Caenorhabditis elegans: one gene and its partners. The protein of the gene in region 2 interacts with the protein of the main gene of each other region in a pairwise test. Each region holds a gene or a part of one and is shown on either strand. Other genes may lie near its edges. The genes, in order: bra-1, gst-39 and pkc-2.

What was found.
Region 1: the proteins of gst-39 (region 2) and bra-1 interact in a two-hybrid assay, tested with the Caenorhabditis elegans proteins (one large-scale study listed by BioGRID).
Region 3: the proteins of gst-39 (region 2) and pkc-2 interact in a two-hybrid assay, tested with the Caenorhabditis elegans proteins (one large-scale study listed by BioGRID).

The regions. Positions count from the first base shown.
Region 1 is NC_003284.9:13,594,033-13,603,162, reverse strand, and holds bra-1 (MYND-type domain-containing protein), read right to left. Parts: upstream 4,715-9,130; 5' UTR 4,693-4,714; coding exon 4,624-4,692; intron 4,535-4,623; coding exon 4,418-4,534; intron 4,371-4,417; coding exon 4,164-4,370; intron 3,931-4,163; coding exon 3,772-3,930; 3' UTR 3,476-3,771; downstream 1-3,475. Other genes in the region: F54B11.8 (Yippee domain-containing protein), read left to right, coding at 33-176; F54B11.7 (CCHC-type domain-containing protein), read right to left, coding at 1,768-2,004, 2,053-2,387, 2,436-2,727; F54B11.5 (RING-type domain-containing protein), read left to right, coding at 7,096-7,184, 7,518-7,635, 7,685-7,842, 7,977-8,025, 8,403-8,594.
Region 2 is NC_003280.10:15,167,446-15,176,041, reverse strand, and holds gst-39 (glutathione transferase), read left to right. Parts: upstream 1-4,125; 5' UTR 4,126-4,131; coding exon 4,132-4,270; intron 4,271-4,322; coding exon 4,323-4,813; 3' UTR 4,814-4,879; downstream 4,880-8,596. Other genes in the region: Y53F4B.36 (Wsv310-like protein), read right to left, coding at 18-55; gst-31 (glutathione transferase), read left to right, coding at 1,095-1,233, 1,278-1,771; gst-29 (glutathione transferase), read left to right, coding at 6,193-6,331, 6,959-7,449.
Region 3 is NC_003284.9:9,372,430-9,386,209, reverse strand, and holds pkc-2 (Protein kinase C-like 2), read right to left. Parts: upstream 9,940-13,780; coding exon 9,854-9,939; intron 9,675-9,853; coding exon 9,508-9,674; intron 7,646-9,507; exon of another isoform or gene 7,515-7,645; intron 6,159-7,514; coding exon 6,089-6,158; intron 5,871-6,088; coding exon 5,770-5,870; intron 5,629-5,769; coding exon 5,546-5,628; intron 5,474-5,545; coding exon 5,233-5,473; intron 5,079-5,232; coding exon 4,919-5,078; intron 4,873-4,918; coding exon 4,632-4,872; intron 4,587-4,631; coding exon 4,266-4,586; intron 3,987-4,265; coding exon 3,783-3,986; intron 3,735-3,782; coding exon 3,524-3,734; intron 3,477-3,523; coding exon 3,337-3,476; intron 3,197-3,336; coding exon 3,119-3,196; intron 2,745-3,118; coding exon 2,586-2,744; 3' UTR 2,546-2,585; downstream 1-2,545. UniProt on the Caenorhabditis elegans protein: PKC is activated by diacylglycerol which in turn phosphorylates a range of cellular proteins. PKC also serves as the receptor for phorbol esters, a class of tumor promoters.

The DNA of each region.
Region 1 (9,130 bases), on a different chromosome or scaffold from region 2:
TTTGATGATGCCTACCAAGCAACAACTTCCAGTATAAAATCTCAAAGGATTCCGAGGGATACATCAATCTCGACTGCACTCAAACCGCTGCAATGTACTTGCTCAAAGGTACTTCGGTGATGACACATTTGATCCCTGTCGAGTATCAAACCGGCATCAAACTTCCCCGTCGTTAGAAGAATTTGGTAACCGCTCTGTTGATTGATTCCAGTTTTTATTATAATCTCAGTTTGCTTTTTTGTGAGGTTTCGTTTGAAAAGTTTACAATTTCTAATCGAGCTTTTCAAAATTTCAAACAAGATCGCTAATAGTGTCTGCAGTAAAAATATTGTTAAGTTGTCTTGTTTTGTATTTTGAATAAACTTTGTTTTGTTGCTTCATTTTTATGCGCTTTTGATGTATTTGGTTGAAGTTTTGACTAAACATCGGATTTGATTTAATATTTAAAAACTTCTAATTTTCTTCATACTATCATTGTATTAAACATTTTTGTTCTGAGATTATCTGAATGTGATATTTGAGAAAGAGAATGTAAGAAAAAATAAACAAAGAAGGAACCGTGGGGAACGCGAACTGGAGTATATTTCTTGTTTATTTTTGTCTACAATCAATGATAAGTGACTCCTCGCTGAGAGTGCAAATTTTGAATGTTTTGAGCCGTTTTTTGAGCCGTTTTAAGCCGTTCTCTGGCTAGTTTTACTGATTTTCAAATAGGTTCATCAGTTTTCGGACGTTCAGCCATCTTTATATAAAGACTTTTTGGAAGACACACTTTGTTGTGAGTATCTTTCGAACACTTTTTTGAAATTAAAATTAAAAATTGCTGCATCAAGAACATGTTTTTTAATAATTTTTATGTTATTTTTGATTTTCAAAATTATTGTTTGCACAAATGGACAAATCACTTCAAATTATTTAAATTTGAAAAATAAAACTTTTTTTTTCAACATGTCTGAAACATAACTAAACATAACAAGATGTCTAAAATTTTTACATCATTGACGTTTGAACTTTTTCCCGTCTAGCTTGTACCTGTTTCTTTTTGATTTTTTTTTACCCCGTCTCTTTTTAATAGTAAGTGCAAAACGAGTGTCCGCGCGCGTTGCCCATTTTTCTTTTTACAGCCTAAAAAAAATTAAAAAACAGTCTCAATATACCAAACTTTACCATTTAAAAATCCAGAATTTTCTAAATAAATAAATATACTTTTTTTTTTAAATTTTTCAGAAATTAAAAAAATGTCTTTTGAATTTCCGCAAAAATATATAAAAGTATTTATTAACGATCGAGCTCATACTGGACAACTCATATGTGGTAAATATAGTATAAGTAAGAATAATGAAAATTGAGAAGCGTAGATAAGACAAAAGCCATTATAATAGTAAAGGGCTATAAGAAATAAGAAAAATGAGATGAAATGAGGAGAAATAAGAAGAAAAATAAAGAATATCAAAAAACATTTTTCAGTTTGAATTAAAAAAGTGAGATGTGTGGAGGCCCTGTCGGATGCCTAAAAACAGTGGAACACGGGAAAAATGAATTAATGTACATAAGTTAAACAATTAACGATTGCTGTGGTTGCTGTGGTTGTGATTGCTGTGAACAGCCTAGTTGCGTTTTACAAGAGGAACATAGTTTGGGCTTCCAGCTTCTTCACGCTGTAAGTTGTTGGTTTTTGGTATTACGTTAAAAATTATTCATCCTCACCTTGTCCGACGGGCGTTTGTTGGCTCGTGGCTTGTATTGTGGCTCTTTGTACTTGGTAGATCAGAACGTGATGTTGTGACACTTCGCTTTCTGATCATTGTAAAGAGCAGCGCAATAAGGGCACTCCACGTGAGCCATGCTGCAGTTGACGTGCACATTCGCTGTGTTGCGTACTCCGGTTTCCATACATCTGATGCACATCCTACGTTTAAAGGCTTGCTCTCTGCGAGGTAGGAACCAAGAAAACTTGAGGCAGTTTTCAGTGGCATGGTTGTTTCTCTTGCACAAGTGGCAAAACTGAAATTGTAACTTTCTAGTTTCGTTTATCAACTTTTACACTGTTACCTTTGTGACCTGCTTGACCGCTGCTGATGATGGTGGAGTGACGTTAAGTGGAGCTGCTGCGGCTACACCTTGTGTGGCGACGTTGGCGTTGATGGTGGAAATTCCATTCGCTCGATGGATTTCATCCACCTTCGTAGCAATGACGTAGAGGATTCCACGCATCTCGTGTATCATCCCGTACACTTCATCAAGCTTTTCAGCATTGAGTGCTGTTGTTTCAATCTTGGAGACAGCGTTCTTGGTGTTGTTGACATCTTCTTTCACCGTATCCATATCAGTTAGAAGCTGTTTAACTGAATGGTTGATGTTGGCGATTTCGACCAGCAGATTCGAATCTAGAATTAGCGTTTTTAATGTGAGATAATTTAACTTTAATTACTAACATTTCAACTCGTCTGCCGAACCGCTATCGCTCTTGCTCAATGAAGTTTTTGGAGCTGGTTCCTTCGGCTTGGCGGGTGGAGTTGTTGGACTGACACTATTGTGTTTTTTCTTGGCCGGTTCTGTGACGTCGCTGTCATCATTAGTAGAGACGATGATTTCATCTCCAACTACATCCGATGGGCGTTGTCTCTCCGGCATTGGCTCCACCGCTGGCATGTTGGTGTCGGTGTGCTGTTGCTGTATATTGGCACTGTCGGCTGGCGCCTGATCGGCAGTTTCCTTTGGATGCATTTTCCTGTAATTAATTATTTTAGTTATGAACAGAACTTGCGTTCTACAATTTTACAAGTTTTAGTCGTACTACGACAAGATAGGTTAAGGTAATTTTTTTTTTCATCTTGCGGAGATAGGAAAAGAAAGAATTTTTCAAACAAAAAACGCTTCGAATCAAGAGGGCGAGTGTAAAAATAATTGCGATTTTTTTCCGTCAAGAAGAGTTGAAAAGCGAAAATAATGCGACAAAATTCTGAAAAAAGCCTAATTATCGGTAATTCAAAATTAATTTAGATTTACTTTACGGAAAAATTCTGAAAAATCGACAAACCTTATTTAGGAATCGGTCTGATGAATAGTAAAGCACTTACACATTATTGAGCAAGATTTACTATTATTATCGCATCGCAAGTTGTTAAACATACTCAAACGATGTTCATTTATTCACAAATCGCAATTTCTATTCGTTTCGTTGTTGAAACTCAAACAAAGTATATTTGTTGTACAATCCGTGTAAATTTCATAGCACTCCTTCTAATTTGAATTTTTGGGTGCTTTCTGAAATAGTTTTTCAGAGAAGTTTATATTCATTTTAATTGCAGAGGTTGAATAACTCTCAATTCATTATGTCAATTCATATCTTCGTTAATTGTTTACATTTATACAATACACATCGGATGTGAAAACACGTTTGATCCCCATAAGTGTCTAGGAACATTTTCATTTTGTCATCTTTCACATTTACAGTATCCAAAAGGACATGTGTATCAAAATAAACTTTATTCACATAATTTCTTGATTATTTCTCGAAGGAATTAACACAAGTTTGAGATCTCTCCGAAATTGATCCAAATTCCTAATTAACAGGATTTATATAGAAGATCTTAAAATTGTTGTTGTCATGGGATTATAGAAAAATATTGCATGTTATTGGAGAGAAGATATACAGTAGTAACACAGAAAACGGGATGTGTGATGAGATAAACTTCGAAAACCTGACACAAGCTTTGTTACTTTTCAAAGGGCCTCCGGCTCGCAGATAGCATATTATTTAAGTTTCAATCATTGTTGACTTTGAGTAGGCTCAGCAATTGGCTGAACTGGTCCTGGGGCTCCACCGTTGCTCTTCTTTCTGCGGCAGAACTTGCGATGAATCTGCCAGTGTCCTTGTTGGCATTCAACGCTGCAATAAGCAGTGTTCCAGCAGCAATGATAGATTGCCTGAAATATGATCATGATGTTTCAGGTCTAGCGTTATTAATACAGCACTGGAGCGCAAAAGAATTATTTTCATGCTCGAAAGAAAATTAGCTTACAAATAAGATATAGTACTATGAACATTGGTATCACGACTCAGACTGATGTTAGAGATTTTGAAATATCTGGCAACACTCTACATCTTTTAAATAGAGAACCCGTCTAAATCAAAAAATCATAAAATCATAAAATCTCACCTCGCTGTTGCATTGCCAGCACCACTGCTTCTTCTTAGCGACAGCAAGTTCCCTTTGGTGTTTTTCCGACAGCTTTTCAATCTCCTCCTTGAGATTCTCCGCGTGCTTCTTCTCCAGCTCTTCCTTTGTCTGGTCGAGCTCTATCTTGAACTGAACCAACAAATCGCGACGGACTCGCTCCTGATCTTCCATGAATTCTTGATGGAGCTAAAATATAGATTTCTAAAATTAAAACTTTGGGGTGGTTGACTTACTTTTTCAGTTAGAGCAACGAGAGATTTCTCGCGGCTATCGTGATAATCCGTGAGCCATTGACGCTGAAGGTCGACAATCATTCGACGCATTTTGTCATCCACGTACAAGTCGTCGAACTGTAAAGATGATTTTTTTTAATTTTTTCCCGGTGAAAAATTTTAGTGAAAGTTGTTCTGTTATATTTTTCAAAAAAAAAAGCTCTTACCGTATTTGTTCCGTTTCCATTTTCCCCATTAACTTTTGGCGATGGTCCAGCTTCAGCTTCTTCCGACATTTCTGTAAATAACTGTGTTTCTCTGGAAAAAAATTAAATCAACTAATCAAAAATAAAAACTCTCGTCAGCACCGATATAAAAAAGAAAATAACAAAAGCGTTTAAAACCCCTCAACTCCACGCAGATACAACGATGCTCCGGAATTACGGCACTCTTGGTTTACACCAGTCTGAGCAGACGGCCGTCTGCTGTCTCGAGGTAATATTCAAATGACGACCGTAGAGAGATAGCGGAGAGGTAAAGCAAAAGAGAGAGCAGAGAGAAAGGAAATGGCAGATAATGAGCCCATGAGGCGAGTCGATATGTGGTCATGAGCCGGAGGGCGTTGCGCAGTCTAATGAAAGGATAAAGAAGAGATTATTGAGAGATGGAAGGTTCTGGTCACCTGCTCACAGACTACATTTTTTGAACAGAATGCGTTGTGACGTATCTGACTTTTTGATTTACAAAACAAAGGAAGAATTTGAATTTGTGTTTGACGCACTTAAATAAATTTCCGGGTGGATATGGAAAATTTGAGAATGAATATTTGAAAAAGAAAATCAAGAAAAAATGAGTTTTTTGAAAACGTATTCTTAGAAATTTTTCTTATAATTATAAGCCTTGTTGCTGTGCGACACAGGAAAAAATTAAAATTTTAACAAAAAACTTAAACTGGGAAAATGTTTTATTACATTTTGGAAACAAAACTGAAATCTCAAAAGATTGCCCCAAAAGCTCAGATACCCTTGGTTACGTCGTAGTTAATCATAAAATTTTTATGATTCTCGTAGGCTGAAATGGTGTATTATTGAAGCTTGAAGGGCTTCGCAAAACGGGAAATGAGATTTTGTGACTAACGGAAATTAGAGCCCAGCTAGCCGAAAATTTTGAAAAATTGAATATCAAGAGAAATATGTGGAAATTCTTGTTGGAAATTTTTAGGGATAAATATTGTTTTTTAAAACAATATTCGTTTTTTACGCACCAAATAGAAAAACAGAAGGAATGTGACAGAAATGTACAGAGAGGGTTGACTGACTTTGATTATCTTCTGGTATTTTTCCAGTTTTGCAAAGATATCTTAAGAAAACAGTATTAAAATGATTTCCAGAAGTTTCAGCGTTTTAGTAACTTTTATTAAGCAAACCTGTTAGTCGCAGAAAATCTGTCATCACACGTGATCGATGATATCTTTTTTTGTGTTCGATATCCTCAACCACGAATGCTGACTGAACACGTCTGCGAGATTTTCAAAAATATCCAGAATAAATTTTGAAGTAAGCATTGAATATCGTATATTTTCCTTCCAACGCGGCAATAGATGAGGGCGGCGGTGCACATAAAAATATCGCAAAGATGAGAACCATAAAATATTGGCGCTGCAGTTTTTTTGCAATTCGTTCTCTTTTCTTGACGCCCAAATTTGTTGGATCCTATGAAACAAAACGAAGGGTAGTAATGGGTGATAATGTACAGTTCAGTTCTACAGTTCAGAGCTCGGAAAATTCGGCAAATATCGTTTTTTAATATTTGCCGTGCTTAACAAACTAGGAAAATGTGATAATTTTTTATGTCTTTTTTATGTGAGCATTTTTTCGACTGTGGATTGCAGTTGACTAGACAATTAACTAAGTTAACTAAGTTAACTAGACTATAATTGACTTCCGAAGATACTCAAGTCGGTTGGGACAATCAGTTTTTTCTGCACTGATCTGCTTGATGTATCCTAATCGGCTTCATCTTTATCTGAGTAGGTGTGCTGCAAATTTGCCGTTTGCCGGGCTCGGCAAATTTCAAAAAAGTAGATTTGCGGAACTTTCCGAGCTCGGCTAATTATGTTAGGCCGGATCGATTTTACATGACTCATTTCCGTTGTTATCAATTTTTCTATCTGCTGAACAGGTTAACAACCATATGATAAGACGCGTAATGTGCCTATGTAATCATTTATTAAAAACAGTTTTTTGTGTACGAAAAAATTTCAAATAGAGGTGCCTGATTTTTACAAGCTGGATAAAACAGATAGTTCAAAAGTGGTATGATGTATGATGACAACGTTTATAGAATGACTTACATTGTTAGATAATTCATAAAATACTAAACTTTTTGTTTTGTTAGAAAAATGTCTTTATACGTTTAATTTCCAGAATATTTCCTGCACTTTGTGTGCTTGCCTTTTTTGCATACAATTAATTTGCTCACTGTTCACGAGTGCAAGGGACTCATGCGATACGTTTTCTTATGTTTCTCTGTGTCTCTCGTTTCACTCAATTTCTCGCACTACGTTACTCCGCTCTTCCACCCTGCTCGCAGTTTATTTGAACCATTTTCCTGATGTCATGTGTTTTGCATGACTAATTCCGCATAAACATACGTTTTTCTTGTAAATTAATAGATTAAATTATAAAATATTTTTCAGGATGGGTACTAATCAATCAAAACGACATCCACGATTTCAGTCATGCACATGGGATGAATTTTTGGCCGATATTAAGGAAATGAACCGAAAGTATGTTTTTTTGTTAGAGTCAAATTTGGTTGCAATATTTATAATTCATAATTTGAAAAATCAAATATAATTTCCAAATGTTTTAATTTCCTTAATCTTTTTGAAAATACCACTATTTTTTTTATACAGCAACAATTAAAAATTTATAAATAAAAAGGCTTTCCTTAGCGGTGTTCGAAAAATAATTTGGACATAAAGTGTGAAACAATCTTTTCGCAACATTTTTTGAAGTGTTTGCTTATGAACCCTGCACCAAAGATCGGATTCCTCGGAAGTTTCCCAAACATTACGAAATATGGCGTCACGACCTTAACTAACATTTTATTCGTTCAGTTATCGCAGTCTTCTTGTCGAAAACGAGGAGTACTTGGCCTTCGCTCTCCGGAACATTGACTATCAGCGTGAAGGATATGAAAACTGGAAGTCAGAGATTAAAATTCTCTGCTGCAAGGTGAGTAGTTTCATTGTACAAATCGAACATTGAAAAAATAAATTTTCAGGTTAATCAAATGTCGAAGCAAGTGTTAAACTACAAGGAGCTGACGTTTCGCGAGTTTCTCTCCACATATGATCTACATAAGCTGATGATCACCAACAAGGAAAGCCGTAAAAGAAGCGTGGATCCCATGTCGACTAGTCAATTCATTTTGACTCAAACGTAAGTTACACGAAGAAAAAAGTATACACTGATATCGTTATATTTGGAAAGAAAATGTATTTTAATTAAGACTGTTTCGTTAGTAAATTTTAACCTTAAAATTTTTCACAGGTCACTTCAACTTTTTTTTGCAGATCGGATGTCGAGGGTAACTGCGTGATTTGTATGGAAAACATCAACGATGTAAGTTTTCAATTTCGTATTCAAAATTAATTCATTAGTGGGTCCGTACATTTTGTATTTTGGAATCTAAAACCTTGGTAGTGCTCCTCATATTTAAAAACTTTTCTTCTACTGGTTCATTAACATGAGTTTGAGAAAATATCGATCAAGATTTCGAAATGAACAATTATGAAATCCCAAACTTGTTTACTTTGGATAATTTTAAGGCATTTTTCCGCAAATTTTTATCTGTGGATTCATATCGGTAAACTCATTTGAGCTCAAGGAATATTTCCAAAGTTCCAGTTCTCATAAAGAACATATTTGAATAAAAAACTGTAAATAGTAGATACGGAGTATTGAAAAATAAAAATAAAGATATTTTATTTATTTTTCAGTTGCTTCTCCCGTGCCTCCACGCCTTTTGCATCCGATGCATCGCCAACGAAATGGAATACCGCCACGATTTCTCATGCCCGATTTGCAAGACAAAGATCAGAAACCCCATCGAATCATCTTGGGAGGTGCCAGATGCTCCAGACCAGGCTGAAGTGAACGAGTATTTGAAGGAAATCGCCCGTGAAACTTGATCTAAACTATATTCAACTAGCTCCAAATCTCTCTCGCCTCCGCTCACTTTTCCTGTCTGATTTTTCTCACATTTCTCATTCGTTGTTTCTTGGAAAACGTTATTTTTATTTATTCCATTTATAAGTTCAAAACTTACCATAACTCCATTAACGGTTCATTGTTCATTCTCAGCCTTAGCCATTTTTTTTCCTTCTTTCTCGGTTTCGATGTGCGCCTAGCGGTTTCTTGTGAGTAGCTCACAGTCGAATATTTTTTTAGTGGGGGCAGTGCAAATTAGTTTTTTAACTGGTGTTTGGTAATTTCTGGGCACTAATGGTAGAAATTATTTTTGCACTGCCGCACTTCTCAGGTCCAAATTCCAAATGTTTCAACTCATTTTTTTTGTATTCAAATGATGTATACTTTGTTACCATGTAAATATCTGAATAAAGCACGTTCAACCTTTTTAATTATTTCAATAATCAGTACTGCATGAATCCTATTTTGTTATTTGAAATTCTTGGACAACATTGAATTGGGTACTGAAAATGCTTGC
Region 2 (8,596 bases):
GATTCCATTCGTAATACCTCCGCGTTGTACACAATCCTGATTTTGGAACGCACATTAGTTGATTGGAAGAAGAGAGGAAGGTGTGAGTATTGGAGTAATAAATTCAGAATCGCAGAATAATAGTTTTTTAAGAGAAAAAGTTCACGTAAAATTAATTTATTTAATATTCAGAATATATTTTACTGACTAAATAAATGTACATTTGGAGTATAGTCTGCATCAGTGCAGGATCTGGGAGCTCATCCGTTTGATACAACTTGTGCGAGCCAGTCGGAACTTAGTCTTGCAGGCTCCATTTGGCTTGAACCTCAACAAGCCACTTAAAAATTCGTCTTGCATGCATGACTAATGGTGGAAATAAGATTTATTAATACCGTGATCTTTAAATTGAGCTAGATGAATTTCAAAATCCTAAACAGAAGAGTTTTCTGAATTCTTGAATTTTCTGGGATTTCTTTATTCTCTCTTTCTCACATCTGCCCAGTCTAAGCCTAAGCCTAAGCCTAAGCCTAGACCTAAGCCTAAGCCTAAACCTATGTCTACTCTCATGATATTTACTTTTCAAATTAACACGTGAATTTAAAAAATGAATCCCTCGGTTAAAATGGCTTCAAGTAAATTTTTACATGTTTTCCGTCACACCACAAACCACATTTTGTCACGAAAGTTTCTGGAAAATGCTGACAAACATCGAGTGAAAGGAAATTACTACTAGAGAATTAGACATCCTGTTAAATAGACCAAGTGGGATTAAACATCAAAGTATGAGACGCAGAGTGGAGGAGGAGGGTTTTTGGAGAGCGGTGTGTATTTTTGGAAGTTTTTCTTATAAGTTGAGTTTTTGAATTGACAAGTTTATAAAAAACCATTGTCATTTAACCAACTGAAATTTTAAATTTTAAATGTTTTTTTTAAATAAAACTGTAGCATCACAATTTTCTATATAACATTTTTCCGCTTTTTCTGAATGTTAATTGCGTCTAAAGTAACACTAACAATATTCCCAACCTTGGTTTTTTTCAAAAAAAAAAGTCTCTAATATCTCTTTTAAGCCTGAAAGTTAACATATAACTTATAGTTTCAGTGAAACCACTATGCCAACCTACAAGCTGACCTACTTCAACTCTCGATTCTACGCCGAACCGGCTCGCATTCTCTTCCATCTTGCGGGGGTCCCATTTGAAGACATCCGAATCATCCATGGAGATGGTACTTGGGAGCAGATTAAGGATAGTAAGTGAATTTTCATGTTATCATCTTCTAATGTTATATTTCAGAAACTCCATTTGGTCAAGTACCTGTTCTGAACATCAATGGATTTGAAATTCCTCAATCTACTGCAATCATCCGCTACCTTGCAACCAAATTCGGATACGCTGGGAAAACCCCGGAAGAGCAGGCTTGGGCTGATGCAATTTGTGATCAAGTCAGAGACTTTATGGCAGTTCCATTTAAAGATATTGTAGTGGCAAAACGTGTTGGAAAGACAGAAGAGGAAGTGTCACAGCTTATAAATGAAGGATTCGTCCCTGGCAGAGATGCTTACTTCAAAATCATCACAAGGATCCTTGAGAAGAACAAGTCAGGTTTCCTTGTTGGTGATGGAATCACATTCGCCGATATTGTTGTCGTGGAGAATTTGACCACGTTGCAGAAGAATCAGCTCTTTGAAGCTTCGAAATATCCAGAACTGGCAGCTCTCAGAGAGAAGGTCTACGCGATTCCAGCCATCAAGAAATGGGTCGAGGCTCGTCCAGATACTCAGTATTAAATTTTGAAAAACAATTTTTTACAATAAAATTCCTTGATTTCATACATCAGTGTTCTCAAAAGCTACTAGGTTCTCTACACTTCGGACAATAAATCTTGAACCATGGGTGGGCGGCAAACGATTTTTTCCGGCAAATCAGCAATTGCCGGAGTTAAAAATTTCCGGCAAATCGGCAAATTTGCAAATTGCCGGAGTTAAAAATTTCCGGCAAATCGGCAAGTCGGTAAATTGCCGAATTGCCGAGTTGCCTTTTGTGGTTTTGCACATTTTCTTTTGGAAAATTCAGAAGTGTTTCCGTTGCTTAAAAAAGTCCTCTAAAAATTTCCGGCAACTTTATATCCGGCAACCGGCAAGTCGGTAAATTGCCGGAATTAAACATTTTCGGCAATTCGGCAAATACGTAAGTTGCCGGAATAGAAAATTTTTGGCAAGTCGACAAGCCAAAAGCTGAAAAAAAATTTGCCGAATTTGCCCCACCCCTGTCTTGAAGTATGCAGCTCGTGTTAACTAGAAAACTATTGAAGTTTATCTAATGAAACTTACTTGCAATTAGTTAGAATTTTGAAAAAAAAATCACAATTTAAAAAAAACGCTGTAAATGTGTGCATCGTGCGCCCAAAATGCCAATGCTGCAAGGTTCTTGATGAACAATTCGCAAATTAACTTCCCTTTCTAGATCACACGAAAATTCTTATTCCCGTGTCCTTTTGTTTCAATGATAATGATAAATGTGAAGCTTCTTCCCCAATCACATGCTTATCTGATAAATCTGAACAATTTTATGCTTTCAAATCACATTTAGACACAAAATCTTCTGCTCGAAAATGCTGACAAATGGGCGAAAACGGTGATCCTTTTTGAGCTCGCGTCGAGGCTCGTTGCGAAATAATTAGAACCAAACATCGGCAGCTAGACACAGCATGTGCGAGAAAAAGGGGAAATCGGGAAGACGGTGAGAGACGCAGGGATTGGGAGAGTAGTATATATACACCTGCATTGAATGATTGTTTGTCAAAACCTTCCCATTTTTCTCTGTGAAAGCAGAAATTGATATATCAGGTTGTCCCATAAGTTTTTGTACTATTTTTTTTTTGAAAAAAATTTATTTCTCTCAAGCGACAAGTAGTACTATTCACACAAGTATTCACCATTAGTGTCCACCACTTGTTGCCATTTACTAGGTAACATCATGATGCCACGGGAGAAGAAATCCGGCGAACGCGATGAGAAGAAAGTGGAGAGTTCAGTTTTGAGATGCTCTTCGTCGTCGAATTGCTTGTCGCGCATGTAGTCACTGAGAGACAAGAACAAATGGTAGTCGGTTGGTGCAAGATCTGGAGAATATGGTGGATGCGGTAAAACAGTCCAACCAAGATCTTGCAGCTTTTGGAAAGTCTTCTTGGCGACATGAGGCCTAGCATTATCGTGAAGAAAATATAGTTTTTCATATTTTCCGTTGGTCTTTTCTGCAACTCGGTCCAATTGGGCACAATAGTAATCAGCAGTGATAGTTTTATTAGTTGGCAACAATTCCCAGTGCACGGGTCCTTGAACACCCCACCAGACACAGATCATAATCTTTTTTGGGTGAAGATCAGGCTTTGGCGTCGGTATTCCTTTCTCACCGATCGGAAGCCATTGACGTTTTCTGGAATGGTTAACATAGAGCACCCACTTCTCATCTCCAGTAACCAGATTGTTCAGCCAATCGAACTTTCGACGAAAAGTTAGAAGTTGAGTACAAACGTTGACCCGAGTGAGCTTCTGTGATGCCGAAAGTTCATGAGGCACCCAAATTCCAAGTTTTGAAGTAAAACCAAGGCGACCCAAGTGACGTGCAATTGTGCTATGACAACACTCAAGCTTCTCTTCCATTTCACGAAGACTAAGACGAGGCTCTTCCTCCACCAGCTTCACTAGGTCTTCTTCATTTAACTCTACCGGTCGCCCAGAACGTTCTATTTCTTCGAGACTGAAGTCGCCGTTCTTGAACTTTTGAAACCAACTCTTTGCTGTATTATAAGAGAGTGCTCCCTCACCCATCGCACCGCATATGTTTCGTTCCGCTTCCATTGCTGAATGACCAAGACGAAATTCATAAAGAAGAAGCAATCTAACGTCTCGACGTTCAAGTTTGATGATTGTCATCGTGGCAAAGTAGAAATGGATGAAATGAATTTTTTCTGAAAGGGGAAGACCCGACCTTGACACGACCTACGATGAAAAAATTTTAAAACTTTCTAGAAGTTTTGGAAAAATATTTGAAAAAAAGTACAAAAACTTATGGGACAACCTGATACATAACTTTTAAGTTTATTACAGCTTTCCCTACTCCTTACTTAATAATCAGTTAATTTCAGATGCCTTTGTACAAGCTCACCTACTTCGACGCCCGCGGTTACGCTGAGCCAGCTCGTATTCTATTCCATCTTGCCGGAGTCCCATTTGAGGATAACCGTCTCACTCACGGAGATGGATCCTGGGAAAAGATTAAAGACAGTTAGTTTTATATTTCCACCAGCTAGCTATTTCTACAACTCAAATCTTACAGAAACCCCATTCGGACAAGTCCCGGTCCTGTCTGTCGATGGATTTGACATCCCACAATCTGCTGCAATCATCCGCTACCTTGCCAATAAATTTGGTTATGCTGGAAAAACACCAGAGGAGCAGGCTTGGGCTGACGCTATCGTCGATCAATTCAAGGATTTCATGGGAGCATTCAGACAGCTCATCATGGCTCAACGCTCCGGAAAGCCTGCCGAAGAGATCGCAAAAATATCGTCAGAAGTCGCCATTCCAGCTAGAGATTCGTACTTTAAGATTCTCAATGGGCTTCTTGAGAAGAGTAAGTCTGGATTCCTAGTTGGAGATGGTCTCACTTTCGCCGATATTGTTGTCGTGGAGAACTTGACTACGTTGGAGAAGAACCAATTCTTCACCGCATCGGAGCATCCAAAGTTGTCAGCTCTCAGAGAGAAGGTCCACGCAGTTCCAGCCATCAAGACCTGGGTCGCCACTCGTCCAGATACTCAATTCTAAATTTGATCTGATTTTGGAATTGTTTCTTTAATCCTTATTAACCGAATAAAATATTTTTGATATTCATATTCCGAAAAATAACTGTTCATACCCATGGTAGACATCAATCCAACAGAAATTGTTTTAGGGAGCCTTGCACAAAAATTCCAGCCTGCCTGCCTAAAGTATTTGAAATTAGGGAATAAGGAGAGAGAGAGCACGATATAAACATCAAACGTTGTAGTTCACTCCAAATTGAAAAAAAATAGGCGGTAGGCAGGCACGGTAGAAATGTAGTCCAAGCTTACCTTATTTTAAAGTATATTAAAACAATAATTTTGTGTAACATACCGAATTTCCTCTATAAGTTTTTTTGCACCTCGTTGTTTCACTTTAAGAGCATATATCTCAGCTGTCGGTTATTCTATCAGAAGATTGCCAACCAGGGGTGTGCGGCAAATTTTCCGAATTTGCCGAGTTTGCCGTTTGCCGAGCTCGACAAATTTCAAAAAAGTAGATTTGCCGAATTTGCCGAGCTCGGCAAATTTCGAAATTTGCCGCACACGTCAAAAATTTGGCAGGACAATTTTGACCAAAACTGTTGATTTTTGCGCCAAAAATTTGGTAAAATGACACAAAATTGAGTTATTTTCATGTTTAAGCAGACACACCACACGGAACTTATTCATACACCAGTTGTGTGTTAAGAATGCAGTAGTTTTGGTGCTCACAAAAAACATCAAAAAATATCAAATTTTTCCGAGTTTGTCAAGCACGGCAAATTTGCCGAATTTGCCGTGCTCGGCAAATATTGGAAAAATAGATTTGCCGAATTTGCCGAGCTCGGCAAATTCTGAGATTTGCCGCACACCCCTGTTGCCAACTAACAAAATATTTGTTATATCATTTTCTATTATTTTGTAATTAATTTTTCATCATTGTCTTTGAAATAAACCGAGATATATCCTTTCAAGACAAAACAATACTATTAGTAAGGTTCATAAATCTAAAGAAGGTGTCAATGTGTTGAAACCACACCCGAATTATGTTTTGAACAACTAATTGGGTATTGTTGAACAACATTTTCAAAGCCCTCTAGAAAACTGTCAATATGAAACCAAACATCGGCCATAAAATACGACATACAAGTGTTGACAAAATAAGAAAGAAATGACGACTAACACTACATTCAGCGAGAAATCGAAATCAAGAAGTTCATTTTGTTATCGTCTTTCGTTTTTATTAATGTGTTGACAGTATGGAATTAAAACTTTATAATGGAATTTTCCACTTTCTTTTAAAGATGTGTTTGGAAAGTGCTTTATTTAGTTTTATTTCTCATTTTTAAAGAAGACAGTCAAATCTGATTTCCAAAACTTTTCGCTTTTAAGAGTTCAATTATGCCTACCTACAAACTGTCCTATTTTGACGTTCGTGCCTACGCTGAGCCAGCTCGAATCCTCTTTCATCTGGCGGGAGTTCCATTTGATGATCATCGTTTTCCACATGGAGATGGTACATGGGAAAAGCTTAAAGACAGTGAGTTTTTCTTACAATTAGAGGTGAACTTCAAAATTGGTAAATTATATTGAAACCTTGTTTGATTTCCAACGTTCAAATTACAAAACTTCCTATTGTTGTATGATAATCGGTTTTTTTAAGTTAAAATTATTATATAAATGTAGGAAAAGATTTGCTCAATTTGAAAATCCTATTTATTTTAGTCGAAAATTTGAAAAAAATTCTAATCGTGCTGAAAGTTGACGTTTGCCATTAAAAGTGTTATGTAGCAGTTATTCTTAACTTTTGTTCATCAGACACAGACTTTATCCCTATTTTTTGGACACATTATTAAATGATAAGGTTATGTAACAAAGCCTCAACCCGTTCCCACTTTTTCTGTATTATTCCACAATATTCAATATAATTTATAATTTATAATTTTTCCTCTTTTTTTTTCTCTTATTTTCACGTTTAAATAAACGTATTCAATAATAATAATAATGTATACTGTTCAGATCAAACGAAATTCTTCCTAAATTTTTGTTCAAAAATTTCTTATTGAAAATTTACAGTCTATTTGAAGTATTTGTCAAAAAACGGGCCCAAGAAATTTTCAATCACAAATATTTATCTGAAATTTTCCAACTATTTTATTTTTTCCAGAAACTCCATTTGGCCAAGTTCCAGTTCTATATGTGGATGGATTTGAAATTCCACAATCTGCTGCAATTATTCGCTACCTTGCCAATAAATTTGGATACGCTGGAAAAACTCCAGAGGAGCAGGCTTGGGCAGATGCTATTGTGGACCAATTCAAAGATTTCATGAGCCTATTTAGAGAGTTTAAACTTGCACAAAAGGCTGGAAAATCGGATGTGGAAATTGCCAAAGTTGCCTCAGAAGTTGCAATTCCTGCTAGAGATTCGTATTTTGAAATCATCACAAACCTCCTTGAAAAGAGCAAGTCAGGATTTCTCGTTGGAGATGGGCTCACATTTGCTGATATTGTCGTGGTGGAAAGTCTTACCAACCTGGAGAAAGTTCATTTTTTCGATGCATCGGAGCACCCGAAATTGGCAGCTCTCAGGGAGAAGATCTACGCAATTCCGGCAATCAAAAGCTGGGTGGATATTCGACCAGATACTATTTATTAATTTAGTTTCTGGATTTCTTTTGTGAATAAATTGAAATAAATTCAGAAATATTCATGCAACTATTTTTATACTTACAATTAGAACAATTTTATTTTGGCGGGGACCGCGGACAAATAACGGGCGAGACCACAAATCAGGGGTGGGCGGAAAACGATTTTTTCTGGCAAATAGGCAAATAGCCGGAATTGAAAACTTCCAGCAAATCAGCAAACTGGCAAATTGCCGGACTTGAAATTTTCGGCAAATCGGCAAATCTGCAAATTGCCGGAATTAAAAACCTCCGGCAAATCGGAAACCGGAAAATTGCGGAATTAAATTTTCCGAGAAACCGGCAAATCTACAAATTGCCGGAATTGAAAACTTCTGGCAAATCGGCAAACCAGAAAATTGCCGGAATTGAAATTTTCGGCAAATCGGCAAATCTGCAAATTGTCGGAATTAAAAACCTCCGGCAAATCGGAAACCGGAAAATTGCGGAATTAAATTTTCCGAAAACCCGGCAAATCTACAAATTGCCGGAATTGAAAACTTCTGGCAAATCGGCAAACCAGAAAATTGCCGGAATTGAAATTTTCGGCAAATCGGCAAATCTGCAAATTGTCGGAATTAAAAACCTCCGGCAAATCGGAAACCGGAAAATTGCGGAAATAAATTTTCCGAGAAACCGGCAAATCTACAAATTGCCGGAATTGAAAACTTCTGGCAAATCGGCAAACCAGAAAATTGCCGGAATTGAAATTTTCGGCAAATCGGCAAATCTGCAAATTGTCGGAATTAAAAACCTCCGGCAAATCGGAAACCGGAAAATTGCGGAATTAAATTTTCCGAAAACCCGGCAAATCTACAAATTGCCGGAATTGAAAACTTCTGGCAAATCGGCAAACCGTCAAATTGGGCTCAGGCTCAGGCTCAGGCTTTTGAAGTCCTAGTTTCAACAAAACCAAAAACCACAACCAAAAACCAAAGTGGCAGGAAACGGCAAAAGATCAATCGTTTCAAATTGTTCAAACACAACCAAGCATCAACTGCCAGCACACGTGAAGGCAGAGACATAGACGGTAAACATATAGTATAAAAAGGGTTGGCAAAGTTGTACAGAAAAATAATTGATGCGATTATTTTGTTGTCCAATTATTTTCGGCGTTCC
Region 3 (13,780 bases), on a different chromosome or scaffold from region 2:
GGAATAGTTTGTTTTTCAACAGAAAACTCTATTTGATACATAGAAAAGTTCAATTGGTTTCTAAAAATGCTATTACGTTTAGGGATGTCTCTTTTGATATATTTTATAATAAACTTGTTCTCCACTCTTGTTCAAATTTCAAAAAAACAATTTCTAATAAAAATATACAGGTTTATATGAGATCTTTATTGAAACCAAAATAGCCTGGTACAGAAATGACATACTTATTATACAAATTGCAATTTTCGAATATAATAAAAAGCAAATAAAGGACGCATTTAGAATAAGTGCATGAAAATGTTTAATGTTCTAACACGGAATGTAAAAAGTGAAGAAAGTGGACTAGTGACGTAACATCGGTACAATTTGCTGCAAAACAAAATTTAGCACAGTCACTCCGGCATGAGAGGCTTCGGAGAATATTAAAATTTCGGTGAATGAGATTATTATCTAAATAGTTTTTAATAAATTAATTTGAGAATTTTAGCACTCTTGAACATATTCTGGGTTGACAAAAGAGAATCCTTCGAATTCAGTTTGATCCAGATTCATGAGGAATAGACGGTCAATCGGAGTAAGCTTAGGGACCTCGTGAGTAAACTCTGAATCGAAGTTGGAAGTATCATCGGCGGATTTCTGAAAAAAGGAGGTGAATATTCAAATTATTATATCTATTTGATCTATCAAGAAACAAGTCTTGGAGTTGAAAATTATCGGATATTTTACACAATGGTAAAATGAAAATTTAAGTTGTTGGTGGTTTCATGGTTTTTTTTTAAATTTACTGTGTAATTTAAAATTGAAATTTCTTACTTTTTGTTTCTTTTGAGCATTTGACTAGTTTTTGTGATTTGACATTTGGTATTAATTTAGAGCGGTAAAACGCACTGCTATTTTTCGATACAATTAACGTTGGCTTTGACGTACGTTCAATTTTCATCAGAAGTGTTTTCATAAAGTTTAATTATAGAAATTAAATTGACAAATTTTATAATTTTTTTGTTCAGTACGTATTAAATATCTTAGTTCAAAATTGTCTTTAGACTAAAAAAATAAACTCGAAAACCGATTTTCATGGTTCTCTCTTAAAAATTTTTCAACAAAAACAATTATTTTGTGGTTTTAGATTTGAATAAAAAATTAAGATTATATCTGAGACTTTTCTCACTTAAAACACAATTGATTGGTATTTTATTAATGCTCTTGTGTTACTAATATGATCTCGTATTAATTTTTCAATATTATAATTTATTCCATCTCTAATAGGAAACACCTTTAAATAAACTTTTGGACCAATAACTTAAAAAAAGACTCGTGATTTTAAAAATATCGGCTTGTTTCATTTTATTGTTTTTTTATGAGTTGCTTTTTTTTCATTTATTTTTGTAATAAGTCAGTCTAATGTTCATATTTGTTTGCACATTTTCCCATTTCCAAACAGTTAACATTTTTTAGATTAATGTAATAAAACTACCATATCCGATGTGGTTGATAAAAATGCAATTATCTATGAACTATTAAAAACGCATGCAAATACTCAAATCATCCTTTTTTTTTCATTAAAAAAGACGGGTGAACTGTAGGGAAGAACAAGGTGAAATGACGACATACCTGGTTAGTGAACACCAATCCACGACGAGGTTATACAGAATCAGCATATCGAGAATATTAAACCACAAATATTACAATCTACATATATTTGGTGTTGATCAATTCAAAAAAGAAAAATCACAAGCAAAACTTTGATTTTATTATAGGGAGACTGAGAAAAATTGTTTTTAAAAAGAAATTTAAAAAAAACAGAAGCTGATAGTAATAGAAGTGGGGAATGAATGGCGGAGAGTGTAAGTTGAAGATGTGAAAGATATGGAAGCAATAAAAAAGGACGCAAAATTAAGAAAATAAATAGTACATAAAAAATATGGCTAGAAATAGCAGAATTGATTTGATGTGATTTTTGTTTATTTGACTTGGTTCAGAGTTTCATCAGGATACTAGTGTTTGGTTAAGTTTTGAGAGGGGTAGATGAAAAATTGAAAACAACATAGTTACGGGAATTGAAATAAAACTCACAACAGATCCGAGATTCAAAATTTGCAAATCGTTAAAATTGAAATTCATAAATTCAATTTTTAGTATATTAGAAATAACTCGGTTCGTGGGATTTTTTTCAATGTCCGCCGTAGTTCAAATAACTGAGTAAAAATTATTTCGTAATCGTGGGGAGAAGCGCTTTAATGAACATGTCTTTACTGTTCAATTATTTGAGTATTTAGTTTGCAGATCACATTTTTCTCAAACTGTAAACTAAATTTAGTTTGGCTCAATAAATTTTTCGAAAAACAGAACAATCAAAATCCACTTGAATCAAAAGATTCAATCCACAAAAACATCTTTCCTTATAACGCTTTCTTAGTTGTGAAATTCAAAAATTTACCAACGGACAGACGATAATAAACTACATATATTGTGAAAATGTTTACAATGAAACTGGATACAAATGAAAAACAGTGAAATGTTAATTAGAAGAGGGTTAGTATTTATATATAGAATACCAGGAGAAGAAATAATTAAAAATAATATGATCACGGTTCTACATCTTTGACATAAAACGGGTTGACAAATGAAAAGTTGCTGAACTCGTCGCCCTTGAGATTTTCCAAAACTTCCCAATCCGGCGGTGTCATTTTGGTGGGCAATTTGAGGAACGAATGGTCAAAGTTTTCCGTTGACCTATCGGTCTTCTGAAAAAATTCACAACGATAATAACATGCCAGGAAGAGCAGTGGGATGTAAGCTGTGAGTAGGGTTAGATACATTCATGGGTGTCATGCTTTCGAAGTAATGTATAACAACATGCGAAACGTTCCAACAATTAAATGTTTGATGTAATTTAATTTTTCTCGAACATCAAAAACAACTGATGTTGAATTGAATCATTTTAATAAAGCGATAGTATTCTGGTAAAGCATTGGGAATCGTTGAAAGCAGATAGGAAAAACAAATAAACTCATTGACTCATACCCAATAAAGTTTAAAACATATTAGACAACCGGTATAGCTAAACTGTTAAGCAGCCCCATTTCATATTAAATCCCTGAAACAAAAAAGAACGAACCAGTTTTGGCTTGAATGGTGGTTGGATTTGACGAGTCTCAATTTTGAACCAATCAATGCGGCGGAAGAATGGATGTTCCTGAAATTTGTTTTAGGTGGTAATATGAAATATTAATTTTTCAAGATCAAGAGTTTGTCTAAGCCAATGTGGCGAAACAAATTTGAAGCAAATAAAACTAACCAACGGCCACCTGAGTTTAATAATTTCATTTTCATTACCTTAATATCTCTACTCGCTGATTCATCGTCTCCAGTACATCCCAATCGTTTTGATGGATTTTTGATGAGCAATGCTTTGCACAAAGACACAGCTTCTTTGGATAGACTTTTCGGGTAGGACACATTATGCTCGGTGATAGCTGAGTTTTAACAATTTTATTTTAAAACCATATGGGATTCAAATTACCTGTGAAAAGTTCATCTTCGTCTTCTCCATCAAATGGTGGTTGTCCTGCAAGCATTTCAAATAGTAGGACACCATAAGCCCACCAATCCACAGATTTTCCATAAGGCTGATATAGAATAATCTCAGGAGCAATGTAGTCCGGAGTTCCACAGAATGTTTTTGTCGTGGCGTCTCCGAATATGTTTTCCTTGCACATTCCAAAATCGGTGATCTAAATATGAATCTATAGTTTGAAAAACAGTTGAGCAAATCGGAATACCTTTATATGCCCGTCTCGTTCGAGCATAACATTATCCAATTTCAAGTCTCTGTAGATGATACCTTTTGAGTGAAGGAAAAACAGACCGACGGCAATTTCAGCAGCGTAGAAAACAGCAACTGGTTCTTTGAATTTCCCAACTTGCTGGATTTGATACATCAGATCACCACCATTTACAAATTCCATCACGAAATACAAACGGTCCTGAAACAGAGATTCATCAAAATACGGATTTGATTGGGGGTTTGAAGAGTTTTCATTCAAAAATAAGTGCCTTCAGGACTTATGTATATTATATTCCATCTATCCAACAATTATTATTTTCAATGTCATACTTACTGTTACAGAATAATTTGCAATAACCTAGGGAAAAACACGTGGATGAATGTCAACAATGTATTACAAATTCGAACATCTATTAACATCTAAATACTTCCACATGTTTGATCCCTTTTTTTCAATAAATCTGTTATGCGCACTGACCATGGTCTGGAAGCACGAATGCAGAGCAACAAGGAATGATGGTTTTTCCGGAAGAGCAAGGACGCGCTTCTCAGTCATTGTGCATTCCACGTCATCGTCTTGAATAATCACATCTTTCTTGAGCACTTTGATCGCAAACAGCTCTTTTGTTGTTTTTTGTTCGCCAAGCAACACTTTTCCAAACGATCCTTTTCCAAGAACAGTGAGGAAATTAAAGTCAGAAGCCTTGATCACGTTGTGATTGGAACTGCCGAGAGGAAGTGTACTAGCTCTTGGGGCAGCCGGGTCTTTTGGCTTAGAAGAACTGTTGTCTCGTGTGATCTAAAACGATAAAAGACACCTAATTGCATTAGAACTTATACTTACAAAGTTTTCATTCATCTTCTTGCGCACTTTTTCCATATCTTCGTCGTATTCAGGTGTGATGTTGATATTGTAGAATTCTCCTTCTTCCGCACTGAGCAGTTTGTACCAACCGGACGCTGCTTCCTTCATAAGTTCTGAAATACCAAACGACAAGCTTCCCATGAAGTCATTTCGAGATGTACGATCCCAGTCCCAAACTTCAATAGAAAGCCGCCGATCCTTATCTCCTGGTAGCAGTTTACTGAAACCCAAGTTTTATTTTTAAATAAAGTGTTACAATGACTTACTAAGTAAAAGTTTCATTCCATTGAGGGTTAAGAGTAGCTCTCAATGTTTTAGTTTTCTGTTTTGACTTGCATCCCGAATCCTCCGGAATCAGTTTGCACTTCACATAAGGGTCAGACAATCCATTGGGGTCCATTGGAATCAAGTTTTTCGCCTCCAGAACTGTAAAACAAATGTTGTGTATCAAGATAATTATACACTCTAGCAGTTTTGATGAAAATATTTATTTTCCTGAGAATCATTGAACAACGTAAGTTCAATTCTTTCAATCTTTTTGTCTATTTCCATTTAATTTCCTGCGTTGCACCCCACTCACTTTTAATGGTTAACTGATCATTCTCGATGTGTGCTTCAATTCGTAGTCTACCTCTCTTCTCTGTATTGTCGGTACCACACATGTTCGGCACATTCTTGACGCATCGGTGATGCACATTTGTGTCACAAGATTGGCACTTCATGCCTTGGTGCAGAATACCGTAGAGCAAAGAGCCACAATGATCGCAAAACGTCGGCGATGAGTATGTTTGAACTTTCCATTTATGCTGCTGGCGAGGATCCTGAAATTAAAAGTTTGAGGAATGGATGTCATAAAAAAAGAAGAGAAAAAGAAGATAGAGTGCACAACTTACATCGGTATCTACTCCTTTATCTGCTCCTGGACATGCGAAATTGACAAACTCGTGACACCTCTTGTGTACCACAAGGGTACATACTGAAAACAGAGTTCTCTTTATCTATCAAACTTGTTTTATAGTCGCATTTTATGATTTATAAACATTTGTTTCGAATTGCATTGGATACAAATTAAGAAGAAAATAATTATTAATATCAAATAAAATTTCCAATAAATTACCTTGGCACTGAAATCCCTGTTTTGTTATACCCCACAAGAAATCTTTGCAATGTGAGCAGAACGTTGGCTGTTTGAAAAACCTTGCAATGAATTTGTGCGATCTGATAAGAATTAAACTTTGAATCAAAATTGTGCAACAAGAACAAGATATTGATTTTTGTTTTCATTTGAAAGACCTATGATATTCAAAGATAATGAAAGAATTTTTTTTTTCAATTTTTCAGTCAAAATAAATGTCAGCTATCAAATAACCAAGATAGGAAAACGGACAGTGCTGACTTTTACGAGGGTTTTGTTTCAAAGTTTGGTATCAACTCACTTGATTTCATGCACATTTTTCTGGCGAAGTGCACCACGACGAACAAATGCTTTTCCTTCGATCCGTTGAGCTGAAACGAAGACAAACATGAAAAAGGGAATCAAATAGGTGAGTTTTGCTCTCCGAGCCCCGCGCAATTATATCTTCCCCACCATTTTATTTCTTAGTGTAACCTCCCCTCCCTCCTTTTGTATTCGTTTTCTATAGTTGCAAACTTTGAAATGAAATGGGGTTTGGCTTCCGTGTCGTGAGGTCATTTTAAGGATTAACTTTATTTTTGCATGTTTTAAAGAACAAAATGATTACTCTTGAAAACATAAAAAACAAGAAACCTACAAATTCGACGTCGCAAGTTTTTTACAATCGTAAATGCGCGTTTCATGGGAATGGTGGGAAGCGAAATAGGGGAAAATGGGAGGGTATGAACAATTTTTATCAGGAAACACTGGGTTGTGTCACTTTTTTATTTTCGCCCTTTTTCAATAGTCATAGGACATGCGGGCAGAAGATGCTTTTGTCTTGGAGGTCCTCAGAAACTTTTTGCCATTTATTGTTTTCTTAAGAACGGAAGAATTTTAATGGAATTTCACTACTATGTTTGTTTTGTTTACAAGATTGCTGTTAATGCAATTTATATTAAAAAATTTTAGAAATCAATAAAAAATCATAATGAGAAAAGCTACATTTATTTGTTGGGCTAACTTTGCATGGATAATTTGCAATATTAATTTTTATATTGGCTTTTTATACTGTCAGATTTCAAAAACATAAACTAACAAATGTTTTATAGTACTTAATAAAAATAAACATTTTCTGATGAAAAACAAATCCCTCTTCACATTGTTTTGACCTTTTTTCAACTAGGACCTGTATCTTCAGAAACTTTTTTTAAAAAATATTGCTCACTGATTTCAAACAAAATTTCCGTCTAACAATACCAAGCCAGTTTCAAAAGTGTTTCATTGGTAATCAATTTCAAAAAAGGAAGCAAATTGGGAGGTTTTGTAGAATAGCTCACCTTGTTCGTGAAGCCTTTTCAGCAATGGCCGGATAGATAGACGATGAGAAAATTCAAATCTAGGAAAATGTATGATACCGGGTGCCTCGTGATGGGCGTAAACCTTTAGACTAGAAGGGTTTGATATAGACTTTCGAATACAAAGTTGTTGATTCCCACCTCCACCAGTGGAATTGTTTTTCACAGGGCTGATTAGAGCAGCCGCCGCTAAAGACTGTGCTTGTGGAACTTCCATGAAGTGGTACAAGATTAAAATTAATAAAATGTTTCAAATGAGCTTCTGACGTTTGGTGGCGGGGCTTGAAAAGGGTAGCAGATGATAGCTAAATGAGTTAGAGGCGGTGAGCAAACGTGAAAAAAAACGGAGGTTTTCTCTCGTTTCTCCCGTTTTTTCGGTTAAGGTCCCGAAATGAGAAGAAGCAGCGACGACTACCCTAGCAAATGAAAAGCCGAGGCTGATGGCGTCGTTCTGCACATGAAAAATAGAACAATTTGGGTTGGGACCACAGGCCCCCGCCGCCGTTTCACTCCTCATCAATGGATGCCGCATCCACCCCACCCCCATTCCAATTTCCATTTCTCCTGTGTTTTTTCTTGGTGCGTGATTGACTCCGCCCACCTATTTCCTGTAATTCTTGATCCCTAATCTGATTTTTATTCAATCTGGTTGCAATTTTGCAAAAAGACTGAGTGGCCTGATTTTGAACCCATCTTTAAAAAATTCCATACTATCAAAATCAAAAATACCCGTTTGTAAAATTATGTGAACTTAAAAGATCAGTCTCGTAAAAAAGACGCGAAGAAAAACAAATTATGTCGGTGAAAAGGCGATTGTGCGATGTTTGTTGCCGATTAAACTATGAATTATTTGGATAATTAACTTCTGAAATTTTAAAATGGGCATATGACAGAATGCGGAGGTGTTCATAAATGCACTAGATACTAGAGATTAATATAAGGTAGAATACATTAATTTATAAATTTTCAAGTTTTCCGTGTAGCTGTTCGGCGAATTTAATGTTCTTTTAACGATACCTTAATTCATACCCGCTATCAGCCAGCTTAAAAACTTCAAAAGAGGAGTACCCTAACCCCGTATTTTTAATAGTTCAACATTGCTAAATATCATAACAAAACATTCCGAAAAATTATGGTTGAAATTGCATATTAAAAAAGTTTAATCAAACGTTTATCATACTATGTTTATCATCACTTTTTTGTTTTGGCGTTTTTACAACATCCATTCTTATCTTTAACAATTCCTCAAATTAATACATAGCATTGTTCCAAATTAAGTCTACCACTATGTTGAAAAACATTAACTTTAGTCATAAGATAAATTTGTTCATGAAAATTTAAGGAAAACATATGATGTTCAAATTCTAAAGAATTTTTTCTCGAAACTTAAAATACAATCAATGTCAATTGGAAGATCAATGACAAAAGGAAACTGGTTTTTGTTTTTTTGCAATGCCAATGCGTTGGTATGTATTGTGATGTCCCAATTCTAATTTCTAATTTTATATTTAGTCGTTTTTTCCCTGAGATGTTTAATTCTATTTTGGCTCACTTGCGATTGAAAAGAGCAAACAAAAAAGTTTAAAATGAAGCAGTCACATGGAAGCTTTTTTTCAGACAACCGCCTTTTTTTCTGAATGCGTTTTCTGACGTCAATTTTAGGCAAATGGCAACAGATTTCTCAGTTAATCGACTATGGACATTTTAATTGAATGATTCATCAATGGGCATTTTTGACAGATAGGGAGTGAAGATGATAGAAAGGAACCTAGTTTTCAAAAAACTGCCACAGCTGCCCAGTTGTGCTTTTAATTAGATAGTTTTTCAAAGTGCGAGAGAAATTGCGGAAACAACTACAAAGTTATCAGAATCACGTACTAACACAGATATGCTAACCATTACTAACTACAGTGAAAAATATAATATTTTGTAGATCATATTCAAATAATGAGTCCGTTGAAAAGGGCTTTACTTTCAGACTTTGCTTCTTCTCAAACCTGAATAAAAATAATCTTGGTAAACAGAAACCTTCCAAATATTTTTAACACTACTTTTTCATATTTGATAATATAGGATGTCACCCTGCGTCTACCGGTAAAATTGTTAAACACAAGAAATATGAACTGCAAACGGTAAAAAATCATAATATGTAGAATATCAGTGATGAAGGTTTTGAACATGTTTTTAGAGTTAATTGATTTAATTCATAATTTTTAAAAAATTACTTCCCCTAACTACATTCTTCACGCCAAAATGGGCCCTATCCCATGTGTGTACTAAACACCACTCGCCTGAGAACCACATGAAACGTCAGAATACAAATTAGAGGGATACAAAGGACTTGTGTTTTTTTCTATGCTACTGAATAGTTTTGACGACTTACCGAAAGCTTCAGATAGTTTACGAAGTGCAAGATTCGACTCGAGCATAGGATCGGACGACAGATCGAGGCTCGGCCGAGCATCAGCGCTATTTCTGGGACCACCACCAATATCGGTCTCGGATCGTCGACGCTCTGCACTATCCATCGTCTCGCGCTTTTTTGCCTTCCTTCACCAGAATAAATCTTTTACAATGGTTTAATGAAAATCGCAGATGGGAGGAGGTATGATGAAGGGATGAATGGAATAACACAAACTAATGCAGGGAGGTAAGAATTGGCAAGAATTTTGAACGTCAACACAATAATTAATTTAACCAGAAACAGAAAACGTGAAAGAAATATTTACCTTAAAATATGAGATGTTAACGAAAACTTGTGAGACTTTAAGAACACCGAAGTGGATGATGACTTTTGCTTTGGTCGTAGGCTCATTTTAAAAGTTTATGAGTAAGAATATCAGTAGTTCAAATATTTAGTAAATGGAACTCTAGAAGAGAATAATATCAGATGGCCGGAGGTAAAACCACTACACGTCTTCCTTTTTCTCTCCTGGTTAGCTGTTGGAGGAGCTTCCCGGATTTGTGGCGAGTATCATATTGCCCAATTAAAAAGCGGTGCACAAGTATCAAATCCAGACATAGTCTCCGCCTCCGATATCCTCTAAGCCAAGAAGCTTATAAACATACGCACATACACACGTACGTCCGTGAGAAGAACGAAGCGACAGCAGCGATAAAGCTGAGCCGTTTTTCCTTCTTTTGAGCTTCTTTTTTATAAGCTAAATTTTTGGGTCAAGTTTACATACTTCACACCTTTCAAGTCAATCGAAGAAGCACATAGAAGGAGAAACAGAAGAAGCCTTGCCTCTAGTTTTTTTCCTGAATTGAGAACGAGGATAGGAAAAAAAACGGGACACGGATCAGGTTTCCAATAGCTTCTCGCTCATTATTTTCTTGTGTGTTTGAGCACAAGGGCAAAACTTTTCAGCTGTTGCTCTCAGGCATTTGGTTTCCTCATCCAATTTTTTTGATTCCAAGAATGTAAGATGATGACAAAAACTGTTTGTTTCTGACAAAACTATTTACAATCTTGAAAATTATGCAAATATATCAAGGTTGTAAATTTTCAAATATTTTTTTGCCGGTAGATTTAATTCGCAAAAAGAAACAAAAGCTAATATGAGCTTTCAGGAAAATAATGCTTTTCACGCTATTAATTGGACATTTTCAACTAAGTTCTTTTTTTTCGAATACTTATTTGAAACTGAATAAAAACAGCAGGTTTATGAATTTATATATTTTTATATTTAGTGTCACAAGTACTATAATTTTATTTATATTTAGTATCACAAGTACTATTAGGTCTCCAAATAAGTTCCGGGTCAAAAATCATAACTTTGTTCGCTGCGTATCGATTTTTATGAAACTTTGGGATGTATGTTACCAACCATGATCTTTCATTTGACAATAGTCACAAAAATTTTTTACCACCCCAAGTGTCCTAACTCGGAGGCAATTTTTTCAGGCATTTTTCTGATCTCGCTTCTTTTCAGCTTTGAATTGAGGTTTGTGTGCGGATTTTGCTTTGTTTAGAATACATTTTTAGAAAACAACAAAAGTTTAGAAAAAATCCGTCCAAAAAAAAAATTTTTTAATTTGATCGTCAAAAAATCTTCAAAAAACTTTTTGTCGAAAATTCTATATTTTTCCTACAAGAAAGATGTAACCAAGTGTAAATTACTTTTACACATACAAAACATTTGGGTTTAGTTTGTCACACTAAAATGATAACATAAAATATAATAAAATTTTTTGCATGTGTAAAAATAGTTTATAATTGGTTACATCATTTTTGTAGGAAAAATCTAGATTTTTCGAAGATTTTTTGACGACCAACCAAAAAAATTTTTTTGGACGGATTTTTTAAAAATGATTTTTGACCCGGAACTTATTTGGAGACCTAATATAATTTTAGAAACATATTTTTACAAAAAAATTAAAAAAAAATAATATGAGGAATAAGACGATAGATTGATTCACTATTAAACTTTTATAAGCTGGCTGGCTGATCAAGTCTTGCGTAGAAATTATTACTCTCAAGTATGATTATTATGGCAATAATAATTTTAACTCAAGAAGAAATATTTTAATTTCACAAAATACGTAACTTTTTGTAGCTTTGTTCCCAAAACTAATTTTTGAGCTCTCAATCTAGAATTAATCCACTGTTCACCACTGATAAGGAGGATATTTCAGTGCTTGTGCGCCTTGGATATTATAATAAGTGCGCAGTTATTGGCTATTTTTAGCAGAAAAGAAGAGTGTGGGGAAGTCTTTGAACTAGGGGATCATCCGGTATTTGTCGGGTGCAAAGACAAGTGAAGAAATTTGAATTTTGCTGTTTTCTTAGGGACTTGATATTTTATTACTAGTTCAAGTTTTTAAGCACACGATGAATTAGAAAATCGACTACACGTACACATTCTTATACATTATTCAGTAAGAAAAACTTAGGGAAAAGGGAATAGAGAAACTTGTGAAACCTGGGTAATATTTAAGCAAATCATGCGAGGTAAGGTACTAAGAACGAAGAACTGAAAATGCCTAATTTTTTCGGAAAATCGTTTTTTCATAGAAAAATAAATTTCAACGTGAGATTTTCCAATCAAAAGAAGAGAAGAAAATAAGAAAATAAGCCAAATAAGAAGCAGAAGCTGTTGACAAAAAGAAGCAAAAGTGAAGTATGAGAAGAAGAGTAAAAGGCAACTAAGTTATAGCCCTCTTCTTTTAACGGACTTCTTCACGAGCACATGGTCAAACGGCCCTACAATCAAATCACGCATAGAATAAGAGATAGATAGCAAGGATCCTTCTCCCTGTCACTTCAACTCAAGATATTACGTAGAAAACCTCAACTTTTCAAGATGCAACGAATAAAGAAGAGAAAACACGGACAAGTAGTTTGTGAGAATCTACAGCAAAAAGTGAGAAATGAGAATGAGAACAAAGAATGTTTTTTTTTGAAACAAAAAATTATAAAGAAAGGGCGCCTGCAAAAACTTAAAAACTAAATTTGCTAGACGTGTTTTATCGAGGTGTAGGAAAAATCAGTTACTCAGATGTAAATTCAGACGAAAATCTTTTTTTTTCTTCGTTTTTCAACTGTTGTTATTTGTGCTCTCATCACATTGAAAACAACAAAGAGCGCACCACTTATTACATCATAGAGGGCAGTGAACCGGATGAACATTGAAAAACTTCTATGCTTTCATCTACCCCCAGATGAGCAGACTCTTGCTTGTATGGACCATATTTCCGGCAACTCATCATCATCGACCGCAAACTTTTTATAGGCAATCCCCTTGTGAGTTACTTTTTTATATCTCGCAGTTTCGTTCTTTTTTGTTTCTTTCTTGTTGCGGCCAACTTTGCAACACTACACGCTCGTTTCATCGACCGCTAGTTTGTTGCTGTCAAACAAGAGCAGCGTGGCGCAGTGGAAGCGTGCTGGGCCCATAACCCAGAGGTCGGTGGATCGAAACCACTCGCTGCTAAAAATTTTATTTCTATGCACAGGTAGGAGGTAGGGCTGTGCGGTTGGCTACTTTTTTCGGCTGTCGGCTGGCGCCACCAGCCGACTGGAATTTTTGGCTAAGTATTGTTTAAAAGTTTCGAAGTTATTTAGTATACTTTTAGTAAAAAAACAAATTATAGCAAAATATTTTATCATTTTATGTAACAAAAACCCAAATTTCCTTATTTTTTCCACTTGTAGAACTTGCACCTAGTGTTAAATATGTCAAAAAGAGTTAATTTTTTTCAAAACGAAAGCCGAAAACTCTAATTTGGGTGTCGGCTGTCGGCTGGTCCCACCAAAAAAAAAAAAAACTCAGAAAAACTTAGAGCACAGCCCTGGTAGGAGGGAACAATCCGCTGACATATCTCATGGGAGAGTTTAAAAAAATTTTAATCTATAAAAATATGACTGGGAATTATTGTTCTAAAAAGGTTTGCAAATAGGCAATTTAACAAAATTCAGCTCATTCAAACGCCTACCTTCTGAATAGAGTTAATTTTCTCCTCAGCTATTTTAATTGAAACTGGGCAGAATGAAAACAATAATAATTGATCCTTATTTCCCACCCACTCATTAAGTTATTTTTGTCTTAATGTTTTTTTAGATATCCGTTGCTATATTTTGTAGGCCTGAAGCAAAACACTTCATCCAGTCTGGGCCTTTGTCCATCTTAATCAAGTACATCTTGATTTCCATC